Kluyveromyces lactis: one gene and its partner. The protein of the gene in region 2 binds, or shares a complex with, the protein of the main gene of each other region. Links are inferred from orthologs where the notes say so. Each region holds a gene or a part of one and is shown on either strand. Other genes may lie near its edges.

The links. The genes of interacting proteins can lie anywhere in the genome.
Region 1: NUP1 (region 2) and NUP2 share a complex: the UniProt entries of both Saccharomyces cerevisiae proteins name them as parts of the nuclear pore complex. The link is inferred for Kluyveromyces lactis from reciprocal best matches to the Saccharomyces cerevisiae genes NUP1 and NUP2.

The regions. Positions count from the first base shown.
Region 1 is NC_006038.1:545,771-553,616, forward strand, and holds NUP2 (nucleoporin NUP2), read right to left. Parts: upstream 2,490-7,846; coding exon 504-2,489; downstream 1-503. Other genes in the region: SGD1 (Sgd1p), read left to right, coding at 1-404; RPS25A (40S ribosomal protein eS25), read left to right, coding at 4,025-4,351; KLLA0_B06215g (uncharacterized protein), read right to left, coding at 5,754-6,560; THG1 (tRNA guanylyltransferase), read left to right, coding at 7,139-7,846. UniProt on the Saccharomyces cerevisiae protein: Functions as a component of the nuclear pore complex (NPC).
Region 2 is NC_006039.1:1,145,379-1,157,202, reverse strand, and holds NUP1 (FG-nucleoporin NUP1), read right to left. Parts: upstream 7,493-11,824; coding exon 4,769-7,492; downstream 1-4,768. Other genes in the region: ribose-5-phosphate isomerase RKI1, read right to left, coding at 482-1,306; RPS7A (40S ribosomal protein eS7), read left to right, coding at 2,395-2,538, 3,050-3,478; KLLA0_C13497g (uncharacterized protein), read right to left, coding at 3,807-4,286; alpha-1,2-mannosyltransferase KTR1, read left to right, coding at 8,838-10,058; CRC1 (carnitine:acyl carnitine antiporter), read right to left, coding at 10,298-11,284. UniProt on the Saccharomyces cerevisiae protein: Functions as a component of the nuclear pore complex (NPC).

The DNA of each region.
Region 1 (7,846 bases), on a different chromosome or scaffold from region 2:
ATTTAATAGCAGAAGGTCACTTGAAACTTGATGCTTTCAAGCATGTTCCGTTAATGGCAGGACTCAACTCAGATGGAATAATCTTCTTTGATATTTTGCTTTTCCAGTTGTTCCTTTCCGAAGGTAAGGCAGCCGAAATAAAGATCAAACGAGATGGAAAGAAAACATTTGAGTATAACTCTGATGGTTTGTCTTCTTTGATCGAGAAAGGTATTAACATTCAGAATAAGAATGTTATTTTAAAAGCGCTAAGATGGTTTATATCTAAGCATTTTGATTATATCAAGTATATTTCAGGTATGAAAGGCTCAAAAGAACATGATAGAGAAAGTAGAAGACTGTCTTGGGCAGTTGCATCTTTCAAAAAACTGATAGAAGAGGAGCTCAAAGGTGCTGAAGATTGACTATTTTAAGTACTTTTTTTTGCCATTTTAATAGTTACACATGCATATATGAACTAAGTTCAAATAGTTCTATTAATTAACAGTTAAATGTACTTAATTTTACATCGGTGATTGAGCATCCTTGATCGCTTGTACTAATTTTCTACCATCAGCCTTTTGTTTCACTTTTACGACGTATGTGTCTAACCCTCCTTCCGCTTTAATTGCAGGACACTTAACCAAATTCTCATTATTTGGATCTAATGCTTCATAGGAAAATGACTTTATAATACTAGTATTTAGCAAAATATGACCCATACCGTCTGACCTACAAAGTATTCTTGCTTTTGTATTGTCTTCCTTGTTTTGCAAAACCTTCAATTCACCTACACCACGGGAATCATAGGCTTTCGTCTCAGTATTGAAAATCATTAGCTTGGCGCGTTGCGAAAAGAGTAGATTCTCATTCTCCTCACCGTTCGATAGATTCAAAGTTTTAGATGGCTCTTCTTGTGCCTCAGCAGATGCGTCTTCGCTGTTTTTTTCACTAACTTCCTTGGCAGTATCCTTATCAGATGTTGGAGCAGATGAGGCAAAGGGTAAAGAGATCTTGAAGCCAGATGATTCACCTTGTGGAGGCGCCTCTTCAGATTTGTTGGCACCAAAACTGAATGCTGGTACAGTTGATGCTGCTGTTGCCCCAAACGTAAACGTAGGTTTTTTCTCATCTTTTTTGTCGGTCTCCTGTTTTCCAAAAGTGAAAGGAGTGGAGCCTGTTGAAGCTTTACCAAATGTAAATGAAGGTTTAGATGACTCAGCCGGTTTTTCAGAGGTTGTTGAGGTACCGAATGTGAAAGAAGGCTTTTTAGCTTCATCATTACTGTTTTCCTTGCCCATAGCTCCAAATGTAAAGGAAGGCTTTGATGAATCTTTGTTTTCAGTTGCTGTCCTTTGCACTGGAGCAGAGAAGCTAAACGATGGTTTAGAGTCCGCCGATGGAGCAGGGGCAGAGAATGTACCGAAGGTGCTAGCTGGCTTTGCTTCTTCCTTTTTATTTTCACTTTCTTTGGCCAAATCTTTATTGTTGCTGAAAGAAAATGAGAACGGAGATGATGAATTACCATTATCAGCCTTATTTGACCCAAAGGCAGGAAGAGCTGGTTTGCTTCCCTCATTTTTCTCTATGGATGGTGCGGACGCAGAAGGAGGGAATGTTGGTTTAGATTGTGAAGAGTTCCCAAATATACTAGCTGGCTTGTTATCCGTTGGTTTTTCAGCTGGTTCAGATTCCTCTGTCCTTGAAGCATCATTCTTTGGTAAAGTAAAGGCACTGGACGATACAGTCCCATTAAACGTAAATTGGGGTCCCTTGATCTCTATCTCGCTGTCGCTATCGCTGTCAGGTTCCTTACGCTTATTCCCACCGAAGCTGAAAGGCGGATCAGACGTCGTTGGTTTCTTAGCCAAGACAAACTTTGGGCCTTCAACATTAACGGCTGGTTTTTCCTCTTCAGAATCACTATCGCTGTTAATCTCAATTTGTTCTTTTTTATCTTGCAGTCTCTCTTCCGTTACGGTCGTTGTCGGTTTAGTCACCTCCGAAGGTAGAGCAAATGATGGTGCTGCGCTAGGCTTTGCGAATGCAAATGGATTTTTAGGTTTCTCCACATTTGCTGATGTGGTACCAAATGTGAATGAGCTAGTTGGAGGAGCGTTTGCAGCGCCATTAGTTTTCGCTTCTGACCTTAACTGTTGCGAATAGGTCTTGTATTTATCGAACAGGAAAGAAATATCAGCAACTGGATCTGATTCCAATGTAGAATTTATTTTATTTTTGAATTGCACGTTCAATGCCGTGAGTTTTTCGTTTAAGTCAGTGCCTTGAGGTTTCTTGTCATCCTTTATCACTTTGAACATGTTAGGTTTATCACCCGCAGTAAATCCTCCCATTTTCCTCTTTGGCATTGCAATTTTTCTGGTACTCATTACAGATTCGCTGGCAACGGCAGGTTTATCAAATGGAGTCTCGTCATCTGAAACATTATTACTATGTCCGTTCTCAAGACCTTCTCTGGTCATCTGAGAACCCGCAAATCTCTTTGACATATCCTACAGTGAGTATTGTGCTTGGAAAGATCAGCTCAAGAGAAGTCACTTTCTTAATCAGAAACGAATTGAACTAACGGGAAGCAACCGGAAGTAGCAGAAAAGGAGTTTAAGGATTGCTGATGTGTAAGCATTCAGACATCAACATGAGAATTGATGATACTAACACCAGAAATAATAATAAAGCAGCTCGAAATTCTAAATCCTTCAATATACTGTTGACTCGTGTGGGATGACTTATGCTGAACACGTGACTACATGTTATTCTGCTTGTGATGGGTTGCTCAGGGGAGTAAAAATGTAAAAAGTATTTAGCGAAACTTTCGAATCGCTTTCTCCTCCGATACCGGGAGTCGAACCCGGGTCTCCACGGTGAGAGCGTGGTGTGATAGCCGTTACACTATATCGGAATATAAAACGTTGTTATGCTTTCAGGGATTATTTGCAATAGCCACCGTTATAACCGACACACGTGCAATGATTTCTTACCTCATTAGTTGACGCAGGTGGCAAGTACGATGGCCGTAACACCATGTAGGACTTGTTGGTGTAAAACTTGCTAATCTATCAGATGAAACATCTGTTTTATAGCGCTCTTATTTTTAATGTTGTATTACGGGACTGTTTTGTTGGATCCAGACACCACGTTATATATCCGAAAGTTGAACTTTGTATATTTTCTCATGCGTTATTTCCTTCCTAAAGAGGAAATTATCTCCTTTCCAAAATGAGTCCATTTGTCGCAATCCTCGTTATCCTGCTTCACTTTCTCTGCTTCTCCGGTAGGAAGAGGAATACTTTGCGTCCTGGACAAACTCACTTCGGATTGAATATTCATTTTTTGATTTACATTGAATTGCAACTTAGAGATATTAACAAGTTGTTTAAAGTAGCACCTTGATTATTATAGGGTTATTTACTTTTGAGTTCATTCAAGAAGAAACCAGCTAAGGGAATTTGAACGTATGTGCCGTGTACTAGCAGTGGTTACTTATTTGGAATAGCACTTTTGGGATTACGATGAAAGAGATAACAAAATAAAACCAGCACGAGGTCTGATATCGAGGATTATACAAGAATAAGATAGATATATGAATCAGGAAGAGGTTCTAATGTTAATTTATTGATAGTGATGACAAATGAAACAACACCAGTTATACTGAAACAACATTTACCAGAGATATTTTGTGGACGGATTGATAATTTTCTCTCCAACATTGTATTGATCATCGTACTATGGCATCAGGATTAAAAGTGTACTGAATAATGCAGCTTTTTGTTATTTGGTGATATAGCCCAATGGAACTGCCAGCAAATATTTCTTAGGAAACCAGATTCTATAATTTGGGTGAATTTGCTGGAAAGTAAGGATTCATTCAAATTGACAAGCTATCTATCAGAAAAATTCTCTCGTCATTAGTCGGACTTGCGACAAATTTACTAAGTGATGTGCTACTTCTCACTACACCCCTCTTCATAAAGAATCAATTTTTTACTAACAATACCGAACTTAACGTTCCCTTTTCCGCAGAAATATGCCTCCAAAACAACAATTGTCCAAAGCCGCTAAGGCCGCCGCTGCCATGGCTGGTGGTAAGAAGTCCAAGAAGAAGTGGTCTAAGAAGTCCCACAAGGACAAGGCTAAGCACGCTGTTGTCTTGGACCAAGATAAATTCGACAGAATTATGAAGGAAGCTCCAACCTACAGATACGTTTCCGTCTCTGTGTTGGTTGACAGATTCAAGTTGGGTGGTTCCTTGGCCAGAGTTGCTTTGAGACACTTGGAAAACGAAGGCATCATCAAGCCAGTTTCCAAGCACTCCAAGCAAGCCATCTACACCAGAGCTACCGCTTCTGAATAAATGCAATAAAAGTCATATACTCTATTCATATATAACTTTTGTAACTACGGCAAATATTTTCTCGATTTAAAGTCCAATACTATCAGATTATTTCGTTACATATTGATGAGGCATGCTTTTGGTAGACATAGCACAAGTTACCTTAGACTTCTTTCCGTCTTCAAAGTCAGCCCTAACAGTGCTAACTGGACTGATTTCCTGTCATTTTCTACTTGTTAATTTCTGTTTTGTGAAAATTTTAATATGGTTAAAGACGAAAATCAAAAAAATATCATATATAACAGGACCACTTCAAAGATGGTGAATGTTTAATAAAATATTACTGCTGTATCCTCTTTTGCTATTAGTTTTAATGCCTTTCCTCGGCTAATATGCCAGTGTTACTCATACTCTGCAGTGAATATGACATCGAAGGTTTTAAATTCTGAGACCAGAATTGGGGTACAATAATGTATATTGTATTTGAGAAAGAGTTTTCAGCTCTAAAATGCAACACATGCTGACTTAACCAACTGTTATGGAAAACCACTACCGATTCTAAATGATTATAAAAACAAAATATTTATAACTGAGGAAGTATATGCAGGACATATTGTTATTTAGGAATTCTTCGTTTATGATCAGGATCGTTTTGTTTTCCAGTTACAGTTTTGATTAAATCTAGCATGCGATGTTTTCAACGCAAACAATATTGTCCCTCTCCCGAGTCATTGTCCATAGCAGCCGGTATTTATAATACAGGGCATACTTGGATGTCATTTGTTTCCTATGAGCTCATAGGGACCAACAAAAATTAAAGGTGAACAAATCAAATTTAACTGGGGTTTTCAAGGTTTGTGTACTTGATGAACGCTTTCCACAGCTTTTTAAGATCCGGCGATGATTTCTTCGGAAATATGTGCCTGGATAACATCATGCATCACCATCTGATACGTATACTGAAGTTAGATTCTATGTCTAACTTCCTGCAATGCAAACCAAAGAAAAATAACAAAAAAATTGAATTTGATTATCATTTCTACGTTTTTGTTGGTTGAGATACTACCTAATCATAACTGACTCCATTTCTTGAATTCAATTACTTCTACTTCTGATTGAATTGCTTATTGTGATGAATCCTAAATTATCAGTTCTGCTTCTGAACCAAAAATTACAGGAAGATAACTAATTTACCAAGCTCAATAAATCTGAAATAAGCATGAAGTCTGGAGTAAGAATATCTAATATTATAATCTTAATTGTGTTTAAGTTAAGCATACAACTTTTGCTTGTTTTATTCACTTATACACTAACGTTTATTAATAAAAACGTCTTATACTTGAAATATAGAAAGGCTCACACAAATGAATGTTGAAAAGAATGGTATACTTGAAACGTTAAATTGAGCTTCTTTTCTTCCAATTCATGTATCAATTTTGAATCTCTGTAAAGCCTGTTCTCTTTCCTTCATTCTGTTGTATAGGAAGCCCTTAATGAAATTCCATTTCTCTTTCTGACTTTCAGGAACCTTCTTGTCAACTTTTAACAACAATTTCAATAAAGTTGCTTGCGTGTAAGGAGAGAAGTTTAATCTCAACCAGAAGATAGCAATTGTGAATAGTAGAACAAACCCTGAAATCGCTTCCTTGAAAAGCAATGTGTTGACTGCTAAAGTTAAAATAACAATCAATTCAGAATATGCCATCAAATGTAAAAGCTTGGCGTTCTTCAAAGTGATCTCAGAAATTTCGGTATTTTTAACCTCGTCCTTCTTCGAAATATGTAAATAACTCACAATCATCAATGGGAATAGTTTGAACGATGATCTTCTACTGACCATCCAAAGGCTAGCCATCATAATGCCTTGGGAATTCTCTGAGCTTAACAAGTCATAAAATGAGGGTGAAGTATTAGACCATTTTTGATAGTCAGTAACACCATAAGACATGAAAACACCGAGCAATGACCCTTGATAGCATAAATTTGGGTACCAACTGATCAAATATTGGCTCCAAGTGCTATTCTTCCAGGTGACCTTGTGAACGTTACGCTTTGCTAACAAAAACAGAGTCTTCCATGATCTTCTCTTGTAAACAGTTAAATTGTGTTTGAAAGCATACAAAACATATAATGCTCCTAAAACTAGAGTCAAATAATGACCAACAATCCAAATTGCCCTTTGCTTGGCTTTGATATCAACCTTGGAATCCTTCTTACGGATAACTTTCATTGTGTCTCTTTTATTTCCGTGAATAAAACAGCTAGTACCAACAATTTCCAAACAAAAGTATTGCAAACTATTTGCTCAGATAAATAAATGGCAATTGCAATAAACGGAAGAGCTTCAGCAGGTCTGGAAACAAGCTATCCATCTTCCAAGTTTTTAAACCCTTATAATATTTGATTGTTCCGTGTGTATTTTCAACAAAGCAATTTTTTAAAACCTTTCTTTGCATTAGATCGAGGCGAAAGCGAAAATAATGTTCGCAGCTTATTTCATGTCATCTCATCGGTATTAAAAGCTGGGTAAACTTCACAAGATGTAAATAAAATAATACATAGATAGTTGCTGTAAGTCTTGAGTGAGGGATATTAGTATTTGATCAAATGGATCTTGTTTGTACTTAGTTTTAATAGACTTTTGAATATCTGTAGCACGCGATTTTTCCTCGTTTGATTCAAACTTAGGATCTTTTATGATTTGAGCAGTTGGACATTTCAGTTTCTCTTACTCACTTCATCTCGGTTGAGAATAGTGAAACACTTAAGAAAGCACTAATCTGTGTCAGGACGCTATTTGATCTATAGATGGCAAAGTCAAGATTTGAATACGTAAGGCAATTTGAAGTGCATGATGCGTTGCTTCCGGATACATACATAGTGGTAAGAGTTGATGGGAAGAAATTCCATGAATTCTCAAAATACTATAATTTCGCTAAACCAAATGATGAGAGGGCATTGAAACTAATGAACGCTGCTGCTAAAAATGTGTTCATGCAGTATAAACAAGAAATGATTTGTGCGTATGGTGAAAGCGATGAATACTCATTCATTTTGAAGAGAGATACAAAACTTTTTAATAGAAGACGTGATAAGATCAGTACCCTGTTCGTATCGTTGTTCACAGCTAATTATGTCTCTCTTTGGAACCTATTTTTCCCCGATGTCGTCCTACATCATAAACATTTGCCATACTTTGATTCCCGTTGTGTTTGTTATCCAAACCTCACTGTGGTAAAAGATTATCTTTCGTGGAGATTTGTTGATACACATATCAATAACTTGTACAATACAGTCTTCTGGTACTTGATCATAAAGTGCGGTCTAACACCTCAAGAATCAGAACAAAAGCTTTGTGGAACGTTGTCCAGTGATAAGCAGGAAATTTTGTTCTCAGAATGTGGGATTAACTATAATAACGAACCAGAGATGTATAAGAAGGGTTCCTTAGTAAACTCTAAAGGTGAAATAGTGCACATCGATGTGGTGAAACAAATTGATGAAATTTTTAATGGG
Region 2 (11,824 bases):
AAGGGGAAATTGGGATACTCCAAAATTAATCAACCCGGAAGGAATAATGTCGTTCTTTTTTCCCCCACAGCATCCATAATGAAAATCTAAGACATGACCTAATCTTTTCGGAAGCGCATCTATCTTTATCATTCTCTTGTGTGAATTTTGAGACAGCAGGCAGAATTCAAAAAAAAACAATTTCCTATATGAAAGCTCTTCGATGAGTTGTAATATTATACACAAATGACATACATATTTATGATTTATTGATTATGAATATGTTTTCATAGATTTGTATCCATCTTATAAAACCACTTCGTGAATATGTCAATTAAAATATCGAAGTATATTAACCCTTTTTTTGTTTAAAATTCATTTTCCAATCCCAGGAAACGAAGAAACTGGAGGCATACGAGATTGAAGATTATTATATATGGATATCGTTACATTTTAAATGAGTTAAGAGAGATTCCGGCAGCAGGTGCTTATGTTTTCCTTTTTATAACTCTTGTAGGTCTACAGAACCATCTGGATAGCCAAAGTAAGCCTTTTCGGCATTATCAATGAACAAACCAGTTTCGACAACACCAACTAATAGTTTGATATCTTGATGTAGCTTTCTTGGGTCTGTAATTTCTCCGAAATCAGCATCGATGATGAAATTGCAGTTATCGGTGACAACAGGGCCGGCTTTAGCTGACCCACCTTGTCTTACCATGGCAGATTTGCAGTTCAATTTGTTCTTTAAATCAGAGAGGACACGAACGTACGAGCTTGGAACAACCTCAATTGGAACACCTTTTTTCCAGTTGGTACCCAAGTACTTTGGAGATTTCTTCCTTGAATCCGCCACAACGATGAATTTTTTGGCACTAGTACTAACTAACTTCTCTTGGAACAAGCAAGCACCACCACCCTTAATTAATTGCAAACCTGCATCAACTTCATCGGCACCGTCAAAGGCAATGTCAACTTCTGGGAATTGTTCAATGACACCAAGTTGTAACTTGTTTGATAGGATCAATTGCTTCGATTGGAAGCCCGTTGGAATACAAACAAAATTTGTTTTCTCATCCATGTATTCCCCAAGTCTTTCAGCAACATAAACAACAGTAGTACCACTGCCAACACCGACAACCTTATGGGTCTTTGCGTCGAAGTTTTCGTCAACAGCACGGTAGGCTGCAATTCTCTTAGCTTGTTCCAACTGGTCAGCTAATGGAGGCAGTTTATTAAGATCGGATAATGGCATTTTGGCGATGAGCTGGATTCCGGGGAGTGAAACAAACGGCCTAGAAGCTAGTTTATCAAACACACGGTACATAAAAGCATTTTAACAAGAATATAAACCAATACAGTAAAGTAAAACACCGGATAGGTACGTATTTAATTTCTGTGGGGGGTGCGTTTGAATATATAAACTTTGGTAAATGAGCGCTACATATTTCAGCCAACTAAATTCCATCTCACATTGACATTAATGTGAGCCATCAGAAAAACTAGGAAAAAAAAGAAAAAAAGAACAAAAAACGATCAAAGCGAATGCTGAGATATTACGGGAGGAATGGGAAGTAGTTCCAGTTGGAGATCTCGAAGCGGAGCTTGACGCATTATATCAACGTTGGGCAAGGAAATACTTATCAATGCATTAATATTCTTCCCGGGTAATTTTTTCTTGTGCTAAAGGACGTTCGTTGTTCATAAATGCTTAAAACATACACTACTATGTCATAAAAACGTGACTCTTTGGGATGGTAACTGCTTGATGCTTTCTCTTTCATCTCTTTCTCACAAAAAAAACACCTGGAGAAGTAATAACCTGGGACTGTTACATCCATACATATTTTTACCGTCTTTGCATCTGTACACCACGAAAGTCTTTCATTTTTCTAGATATATTCACCCTCCCTTTTTAGGTATTATGGCGTTGTATTTTTCATTTTGAGAATAGCCACCGCTTCCCACATTCGTAACGAAGTGTCCTTCCATCGTAGCCACGGCATGTCTTTCGATCACCAGTCAGGTCTGAGAGACCCTAACAGGTTAGGCAGGGCCTCCAATGGACCTTTCCACCTACCGTTTGGTCCTGTTCCGGGTGTAGGAAGGAACCCAGCTAGGCCGTGTCGACTGTCTAGGCTCGCTACTCTCTCTACCTACTGTGTGGAAGTATGGACCGGCAAATTCTACGAGCTATCCAGACCAGGCCAGTAGTAGGTTTCATTCATCGTAATGCATCCCAGTCTCAGCAACTTTTTCAGAATTGAAGGTTTACTGTTTAAACAATTGAAATGAGGTCTAATAGTTATATACAATAAATTAGCGTTAGTTGAATATTAGTTGCAGCACTGTTTTAGCGATTTTTTTCCATTAGAGGAGTTCTTGATATAACCAAGCAAGGAAACATAAGCCACGATGTCTGACCCACAAGCCAAGATTTTGTCCCAAGCTCCAACTGAATTGGAATTGCAAGTTGCCCAAGCTTTCATCGACTTGGAAAACAACTCTCCAGAATTGAAGGCTGATTTGAGAGCTTTGCAATTCAAGTCCATCAGAGAAGTATGTGAAACATTAAAACACTATAAGAAAGTGGTACTACTTTCAAAGGCAAAAGGAATGATTGAATATTGGATTACCTATACGTTTACGATAACTGAAATGTTAATAAACATAAGATGAATGAATGAATATATGTTTCCAGGAGTGAGGAAATAACAAAGATAATGTAAGAAAATGATCTAACGAACAAAATATTACATCTGTTAATATATTAAGCAATCTGCATGACTAAAGCTTTGAAGTGAGGTATGCCTAGTATCTCTGTACCCATCTGATGCTTGCTAAGAAAGAATATCGACAGATAAGTTCTCTACGAAATGTCACAGTTATTACTAAATTTTCGAAATCATGCACGACAAAAGTGATATCCATAAAACAAGTCAATTCCTTAATGATGTGATTATATTGCATTATTGCATTTTATAATCCAATCATTCGTGCCTCTAGTACCCTGTGATAATAATAAAGTCTTATTTTTACTAACAATTTATCCTCCGTATTTTCATTACAGATCGAAGTCGCTGGTGGTAAGAAAGCTTTGGCTGTCTTTGTTCCAGTCCCATCTTTGGCTGCCTACCACAAGGTCCAAATCAAGTTGACCAGAGAATTGGAAAAGAAGTTCCAAGACCGTCATGTCATCTTCTTGGCTGAAAGAAGAATCTTGCCAAAGCCATCTAGAAAATCCAGACAAACTCAAAAGAGACCAAGATCCAGAACCTTGACTGCTGTTCACGATAAGATCTTGGAAGATTTGGTTTTCCCAACTGAAATCGTTGGTAAGAGAGTCAGATACTTGGTTGGTGGTAACAAGATCCAAAAGATCTTGTTGAACTCCAAGGACGTCCAACACATCGACAACAAGTTGGAATCTTTCCAAGCCGTCTACAACAAATTGACCGGTAAGCAAATTGTTTTCGAAATCCCAAGCGAAACCCACTAAATCAGTTGATAGTTTATTTTGTCAATAATCATCTATTAATCTAAAAGAAATTTAAGTTTTATTTTCATAAACTCGTACTTCTGGTACTGTTTCTATTGTATTCTAGTGTGAGTTCTACTCATTTGAGCTTGAAATGATAATCTTATATAAACAAATATAAGCTCTTGGCACATATTATATCATTCTCTACAAGATCACTAAAGTACATGTTTCATTACGGCGTAAATATAGCTAGAAACCACCATTGATTAGGATCAAAACCAACCAACCAACCACACCCATTAGTGTCAATTGGTCGTAATGTGTGGGTAGATGTATATAGGAGAAATCATTCGGCCCTTTTAATAAAAGTTTCGTAAGCTGCACTCGTTACAGTAACAGGTTCTGGAGCCTGGGTGGGACGGCTGTGTTTATTAACCTTAGTTTGCAAGGTATTTATTCCTATTGGTTGAAAATCACCTTCATGATGCTTACTTTGTCGAGCTTTAGTAGGTTGTTTACTTTGATCTGAAGTTAAAACCATTATTATCAAACCTACACCACCGCCAATAACTGAATACTTAATTATTCGTAAAACACCTATCAGTACACTTCCTAGTATTGATCTGAATAAAGGTTGTAAAGAAGAGATCATAATTACCACAAAGCACCCTAAGAGGAATGAAGGGACGTGAAGTACATTATAAGGTTTCGAGTGAACACATTTTTGTAAGTGGGTAAGGCGTGGCAGTATTTGTTCTGAAATGTCCATGGTTATGGAGTTTTTTACTTTACTGGAAGATATTAATTTAGTGATTGACACTTTCATGTTACATATTTAAAGAATGCGCTTTTGTTGATTTTCACAACATTACGGTATTATGAAGTTGACTAGGCGAAACGAATATTCACGTGACTCATAATTCAATTGAATTCCTGCAAAGCTGTCATGAACTGCGCTACGCATAGCAGTTTCAATGTAACTAAATTTGATCAATACTTTCCAGAAATGCCTATGTTTCAAGTAATAGCCGGTTCAATTTGGATACCACAAGCGAAATCACTCAATTTCTTGCTATTGAGTATGTTAGACTTGATTTATAAGTTGATGTAGTTCCACTTAAAGATTTTACGAGCATCTCATCCGTTAACGAAGCTCCATTCGAGTACTCTCTCGAAACAAAATTTTTTACCTAAACTTTAAGATGACATTAGTAGATACATTCTTACACATAAATGTAAAGATGTCGGAAGGAATGATATCATGCAATAATTGTTACAATTGAGATGCAAAGCCTTTGTTTTCCTTTATTAGCCTCTTCTTCTTCTCCTACCGGGCATAGCAATTTTGCGCTGCGGTGGAAATGGTGCCCCTCCTTGAGGAGTTGAAGCCTGCGCATTGAATATGTCCGCTGGATTCTGCTGACCAGCGGAAAATATGGACGATGGATTCTGTTGCGGGGTTTGGGATCCAAATACTACAGAAGGACTTTGAGATGGTTGACCACCAAAATTAAAATTGGCAGCGGCTGAAGGATTAAATGTGTTTGTCTGCATAGAATTACCGAAACCGGTACCCAATGCTGGTACCTGGGGAGTGGAAGAAGCTGAGCTTCCGCCGAATGAAAAAGGTACATTAGGCTGATTGGAACTGGTTCCAAATGCAGGTGAACTGTTGGTAGTGCTTGGCCCACTTCCAGTAAAAGTAAATGGTTTTTGATTTTGTTGTGCAAAAGTAAATGTAGTTTGAGTAGGCTGCGTTACACTTATCTTATTCCCAGGTTGAACGACATTATCAAATGAGAATGGGACAGGAGGGTTGCTTCCACGAGCAGATCCAACATTTGATGAATCTGAAAACGGAGTCGGAGTAGTTTGTCTATTATTATTTTTAAACCCTGTCAAATCAAATTTGAGTCCGCTGACAGGCTGGCCACTGGTGTTCTGACTTGCAAACGAAGGAATTGCATTGGAAGCTTTTTCAATTGAGGGCTGCTGGATGGCAGAGGAACTTCCAAAAGAGAATGCAGGTTTCGAACTCATATCACCTTGAACAGGTTTCTTTGTGGTCCCGAACGAAAATGATGGTGCAGCAGCTTCTTTTGGGGTTGTATCAGAAGGTAGGGCTGCTGGGGTGCTACCAAAGGAGAATGCAGGTTTTACAGCAGTACTGACGGCATTTTTGGCTTCCTGCTTCTCTGTCGCGTTGTCTGCTGAAGGCTGTTGGTTGAGAGAAAATGCTGATGTATTCGAAGCTTGCCCAAAACTGAAAGGTTTAGCTTTTTCCTTCTCAATATTTTTTGACGAATCATTTCCTACAGGTTTACCACCAAAGCTGAATGATGGCAGCACTGGTGCTTCAGTTTTTGTACCATCTGGTCTCTTTGCGGCAGGTTCAGTACTACCACTGGAACCAAACTGAAATAGTGGTTTAGGTGTATTAGTTGATTGAGAGGTACTCAATGGGGTCAGATCTGGAGTAGATGATTTTCCTTTGTTGAAGCTAAACATAGGTTTTGACATTTCACTGACATTAGTTGGTTCGCCTGCATCTTTTTGGCTGCCAAAACTGAATGAAGGGGCGGGTTTAGCTATCTCTTTGCCTTCTGAAGATTTTCCAAAACTAAATGTAGGTATATTTGATATCCCAGTTGTATCCGCACCAGTGAAGCTGAACTTAGGGAGGCCGTCTTTAGCCAGATTTTCAACAGGTTCGGGGGCGGATTTCTCAAAGGGGTTTTTGGATGTTTCAGCTTTTTTGGTCTCTTTCTTGGTTTTTGATAAATCACCAAAGGTGAAAGAAGGAGCACCATCTGAGATTTTTGTGCCTCCATTGGCTGTAGCTGTGTTGTTTTTTTTTACCGCATCAAAAGAAAAAGCAGGTTTCGATGGTTCAGTTGATGTTTCCAGCGACTTAGAACTTGTGAAGGGAAATGGTTTAACAGTGTCCTCAGTAGAACTAAATTCTTTCTTTTTTCTTGGTAACTCTTCAGAATCCTGAGAAGGGGCCGTTAATTTCTGTTTATCATTGTTGAATAAATCCAATTTGGTATTTCCAAAAGATATATTTTTGGATACTGTTGGTTTGGTAGGTGTATCTGTGCTACCTGGGAAAATAGAAGTACTGTCTCTATTCATAAAGTCAAATCCAACACTTGGGCCGTTAGCGTTTAAAACTTTATCTTCTGATATTTTTTCCTTGACGATAGGTTTCAATGATAGTGTTGGTGCAACTACTTCTTGTGCTATCTTTGGATTTTTTTGCAATGTCTTTCCTTGTAATAACCTGCTTTGAACATCAGTTAAGCCAGATCCACTAGGCACTCCTGTTTGATCAAAAGTATTGACATGTTTCTTTGAAGAGGTACTCCTTTTTAGCAATGGATGTGGTAGTTTAGGAGATTCCAAATTCCCCATTGAGGCAGATACTGGTTTCGTCTTTTTGTCGTTTTTCAAGATATCATATTCTGATAAATCGTATTGAAAATCAGCTTTCCACTTCTTGGACTTTGGGTTATCGGAAACCCTATGATTTTTCTTGTCACTTTGTAGTTTGTTGACGAGTAAATTCTTTATAGTAGCATTTTTGCCGTCTGTTAAGCGATATAGGCCGTTCTCTGCTGATTGTAATTGTCTTTGTAAAAGTGGGAATTGCCGAGCACGGCGCAGTTGCTGCATCCTTAGTAGCCGCAATCTTTGTTTCGGTTCTATCGTTAGTACTGGAGGCCTTACACCATGTTCAGAATCCCCTTCATACAAGAAAATATTCGGTCTTTCATCATAATTGATATCATCAATGCCATTGTGATTTAACGGGTGATCGGTGATTTTTTCGTTATTCCAAACCAATTCCTCGTAACCGTCGAAGCCACGTTTTTGCCTCTTGATGACCACTGATCCTGAATCACTGATATCTTCATTGTGCGACCTTGTTATATTCGGATCTTCGCTATTCGTATCGTCATGCTTGGTAAATAATGATGCCAAAGTCGATGAAATCGATCTTTTGGGTTTTTCCAGATATGATGCCGACATTATTCTATAAAGTGGCCGTGATATGCGGCAAGTGAACCAGAGTCCAATTCAAGTTTTCGATTCCTATTTCTTTCGAAACTGCTGTTTCTGTAACTTTCTTGCGTATTAATAAAGGTATTATTCGATATTTGATAATTCGATATTTCAAGTCCTAACATTCCTAGCTGTTATTTTTTTCCTCTTACAGGGTTATAATCACTTTGTACGGTTTGACACATATTGACCTAAACTAACCAAGGCGTCAGTATAAGAGAGTCTAGCTAGGAGATGGACATAAATTTGCATTAGTTCCAAAACATCAATATGGGGCTCGACTATTATCCAAAATTTATTATAACGATTCTACATTATGAAAGTTTAAAGATTTGCCGTCCACTTAATACAAAAGTACCCTTTTTCGTTATTTTAGCTTTCAAGTTTTATATAGAACTCAAGTTTTGTTCATTTTTCTATACATAAGGCCTGAAAGTGACATGAGGGATCGAAAAGAACAAATTGATATATAAGTAAAGAAAAACTTAACGTTAAACTGCAAGAACGCACAGGATAGAACGTAGTGTGCATCAATGCCATGCTTAACAGTACAAGTGTTCTATTCTTGTGAAATTCAGATTATCACGTGACCGATTTCTCCCCATCCTGTCATACATTCGTCCCATCTTGTTTTTTTTTTTTTAGTTTGGGGAAACCTTGAAGAACGCGTCATGGAGGAAATCAAGTAAAAAGTGCAACACCGAATGTGGTTATGAGGCTTCGACACCACAGAACAGACCGCTTGATTCCGAAACGAAGAGGCCATATCGGTCAAGGAAAATCCCAAAAAACACCTTGAAGGGACAGAAGACTGAAACGAACACATAAGTCTAAATCCGAAAAGAAAAGAATCATTACACTAGAAGAAAATGGGCAGTGGAACATCGCACGATGCCTTCGACTACGAGTCATGAAGTGGGAGATCGATAAATGTCATAAATGTCATAAATGTGCTATTTTTATGGCTGAGCTCTGCTAATGGTATCATATAGTTTTTTTTTTTTTTTTGTAGTTTTCAATATTCCCTGATCGAATCTGGGTTGCCTCGAGAAAAATGTGATATTAGAATAGCGTATATCCACTGTTCAATTGAAGAAAACTGAAAAATTACAAACGAAGGCATTTTACCTTTAACAACTCGGTATCGTTTTTTGTTTCCTTAGGTGCTTTACTAAGTTATTTGATCGTTTGACGTGAATATCCTGAAACCACATTGGTCGTTGTTGATTTCTTCTTAACAAATCCGCTATTTTTCTTTATTTCAATTGGAAATAGGTTGGGAGAAAGCTGTTCAGTAATCTTTCAATAAGCCATGAGCGAGACCAGAATCAATAAGGAGCGTTCTGCGCGTCTCCTTGGGATAATTATCGTTGCTGCAATTACCATCTATTTGTTGTTCCAAGGTGCTTCATACAATGGTGGATACAGCACTGGTGTGTCATCTTCGCAGAATGCAAATCAGTACGAGACCGTTCGCATGAAGGGTGATTCCCGTGTTGTTGTAGACCCAAACACAGGGTTGAAGTACACCACCGTCGATTCCGGTAAGTACACTGGCTCCAAGGTTAAGGCAACTTTTGTGACTTTGGCACGTAACGGTGATTTGACAGAATTATTGTCATCTATTAGGTCTGTTGAAGATAGATTCAACAAGAAGTTCCAATACGATTGGGTGTTTTTGAACGATGAAGAGTTCACAGATGACTTCAAGAATACAGTTGCTTCTATGATTAGTGGTAACGTCAAGTTTGGCCTAATCCCTGTCGAACACTGGTCCTATCCAAGCTGGATCGACCAGGAAAAGGCTGCTCAAGTCAGAGCTGATATGAAAGCCAAGAAGATTATCTATGGTCATTCGGAATCATACAGACATATGTGTCGTTATGAATCAGGATTCTTCTATAGACACAAATTGATGGATGAATACGAGTTCTACTGGCGTGTTGAACCAGGTGTTAAGATCTACTGTGATATCGATTACGACATTTTCAAATTCATGAAGGATAACGATAAGAAGTACGGTTTCACCATCTCTTTGAGAGAATACGAAGCTACCATAGAAACGTTGTGGAAGACCGTTTTCGAATTTAACCAGGCAAACCCACAATATTTGCACAAGAACAACATGATGAAGTTCATCTCAGATGATAACGGTGCTTCTTATAACTTGTGTCATTTCTGGTCGAACTTCGAAGTCGCATCCCTAGAACTATGGAGAAGTGAAGCCTACACAAAGTTCTTCGATCATTTGGATCATGCTGGTGGGTTCTTCTACGAAAGATGGGGTGACGCCCCTGTCCATTCTATTGCTGCTGCATTGTTTTTGGACAAGAACCAAATCCATCATTTCAATGACGTCGGTTACTACCACGTTCCATTCCATTCCTGTCCAGTTTCTGATGCATTCAGAAGGGATCACAGATGTGTCTGCTCCCCAAGTGATGATTTCACTTGGAAATCTTACTCCTGTACTCCACAGTTCTACAACGTTAGAAACTTGAAGAAACCTGAGGGCTGGCAAAACTTCACATGAATTCAAACGAGGAGAAAAATATAACACTAACCATACATAAAATATACGTGTAACAAGAAACGCTTTTCTTCTTTTTTAGTCTTATAGGAGGACTGTGAAGGATCCAAGTCGGACTTTTTCTTCCTCTCAAGACAACAAACAGAAGGCTTTTTATTGTATTATATTCATTAAATAATTTCTTTCAAAAGAAGTTGTCGTAACGGAAGTGCATAAATAATATCATTATAGAGGGGTCCAGTTCAAATTGAACTAGTTTTTTGTTGCTCGAACTTCTTGAACAACGAATGGGTCAACTCCACTCCCAAGAAAGTGGCCGCATTAGCTGGGAATGATCTCAAAATGGCAGGTCCAACACCAGGGAAGAACCCTTTAATACCACCTCTTGTGTTGTAGATCATGCGCGTCACTTCAAGCATCGATTGACGCTTGGAAGATGATTGTAATTGTGTCTTCACAGTATCAATGGGGAACACTACTACCCACATAGAAACACCTGCCATACCACCACTGATACAAACGTTGGTAATTGACAACTCTCCTGAGGTATGTCCGCTTGCCTTATTCAAATATTCCTTGCAAATCTCATAACTGGCAAAGTATAACGCACTTCCTGGCCCATCACGGGATAAAGTCGCTAGAGAACCCTTGAATAGAGATTGGAAACCCTGTGTGCGCACTATCTGTTTGGCAGCATCCAAAAACGAAGCTTTACCCTGAGTAGTTTGTAAGACAACTTTAACACGTTCAGTGGGTGCAGTGACTAACGTAGTAGGAATTGCACTGATGAACCCTGCTGCTGCCATCTGTGACAATGTCAATTCTGGTTCCACTGCTGCGGCACCACTAGCCGCCGAAGAGGGCACACTCGTGACCAATTTTTTACCTACGTCATAACCCCAGAAGGACACAGCAAAGATTGGAGTAACACCCAATAATGGAGGGACCACACCTTTATAAAACCCACGCACTGCATTCAAAGAAGTAGGACCGGCTGCCTGACGTGCAGCTTGTAGAATATGTGAGACTGCATCCATGGCACTACGTGCTTGGTTTGATTGACATCTGACTTTCACCAAATCAAAAGGATGTCCGGTCAACACTGCACAAACACCTCCAACACCGCCTGCAGCTAATGACTTCAAATTTTCTGTTAATTGTGACTTTGTTTGGGAAACATCATTAACATGCGATGTTTCCAATTCAATTTCAATGGAGGCGTCACTCATTTTTCCCTTTTCAATAGTGTTCGTCGAAGTGATACTGTATATATATACGTTAGCTTTGGTGCACTTTGATCAGACCAATTTCATATACCTCGGTACTGAATGTTCTTCTTATCTAAGTGTATGCTTCAGGTTTGCACCGAAAGGCTGTGATTTATATATCTACGAAAAAAAAAAAAAACGTTTCTCTTCCTCATGAAAGTAATTAGCCATGATATTGCTGATCATTAACATCATATCATCATCATAATCATCAAACATTCAGGATTTTCTTTTGGTCCAGGATTGTGACTTTCTTGGTGAATCATTATAGTCATCACCAAAAAAATTCTCAAGTTAACGGACTTTGTAGAGATAATCTAGGATTGATACAAGGAATCAGTACAACATTTTGTGTGACTGGCCGTTAGAAATAGAATCAGCCCTGAATGCATGACAACAAATGAAAGAACAGATACTCTACAATTTAAGTACAAGGTCATGTGCTGGAACATCTCCAAATTCGCACGGGATCCCTGCGGCTGTTTCCCTGCGTGATCCATT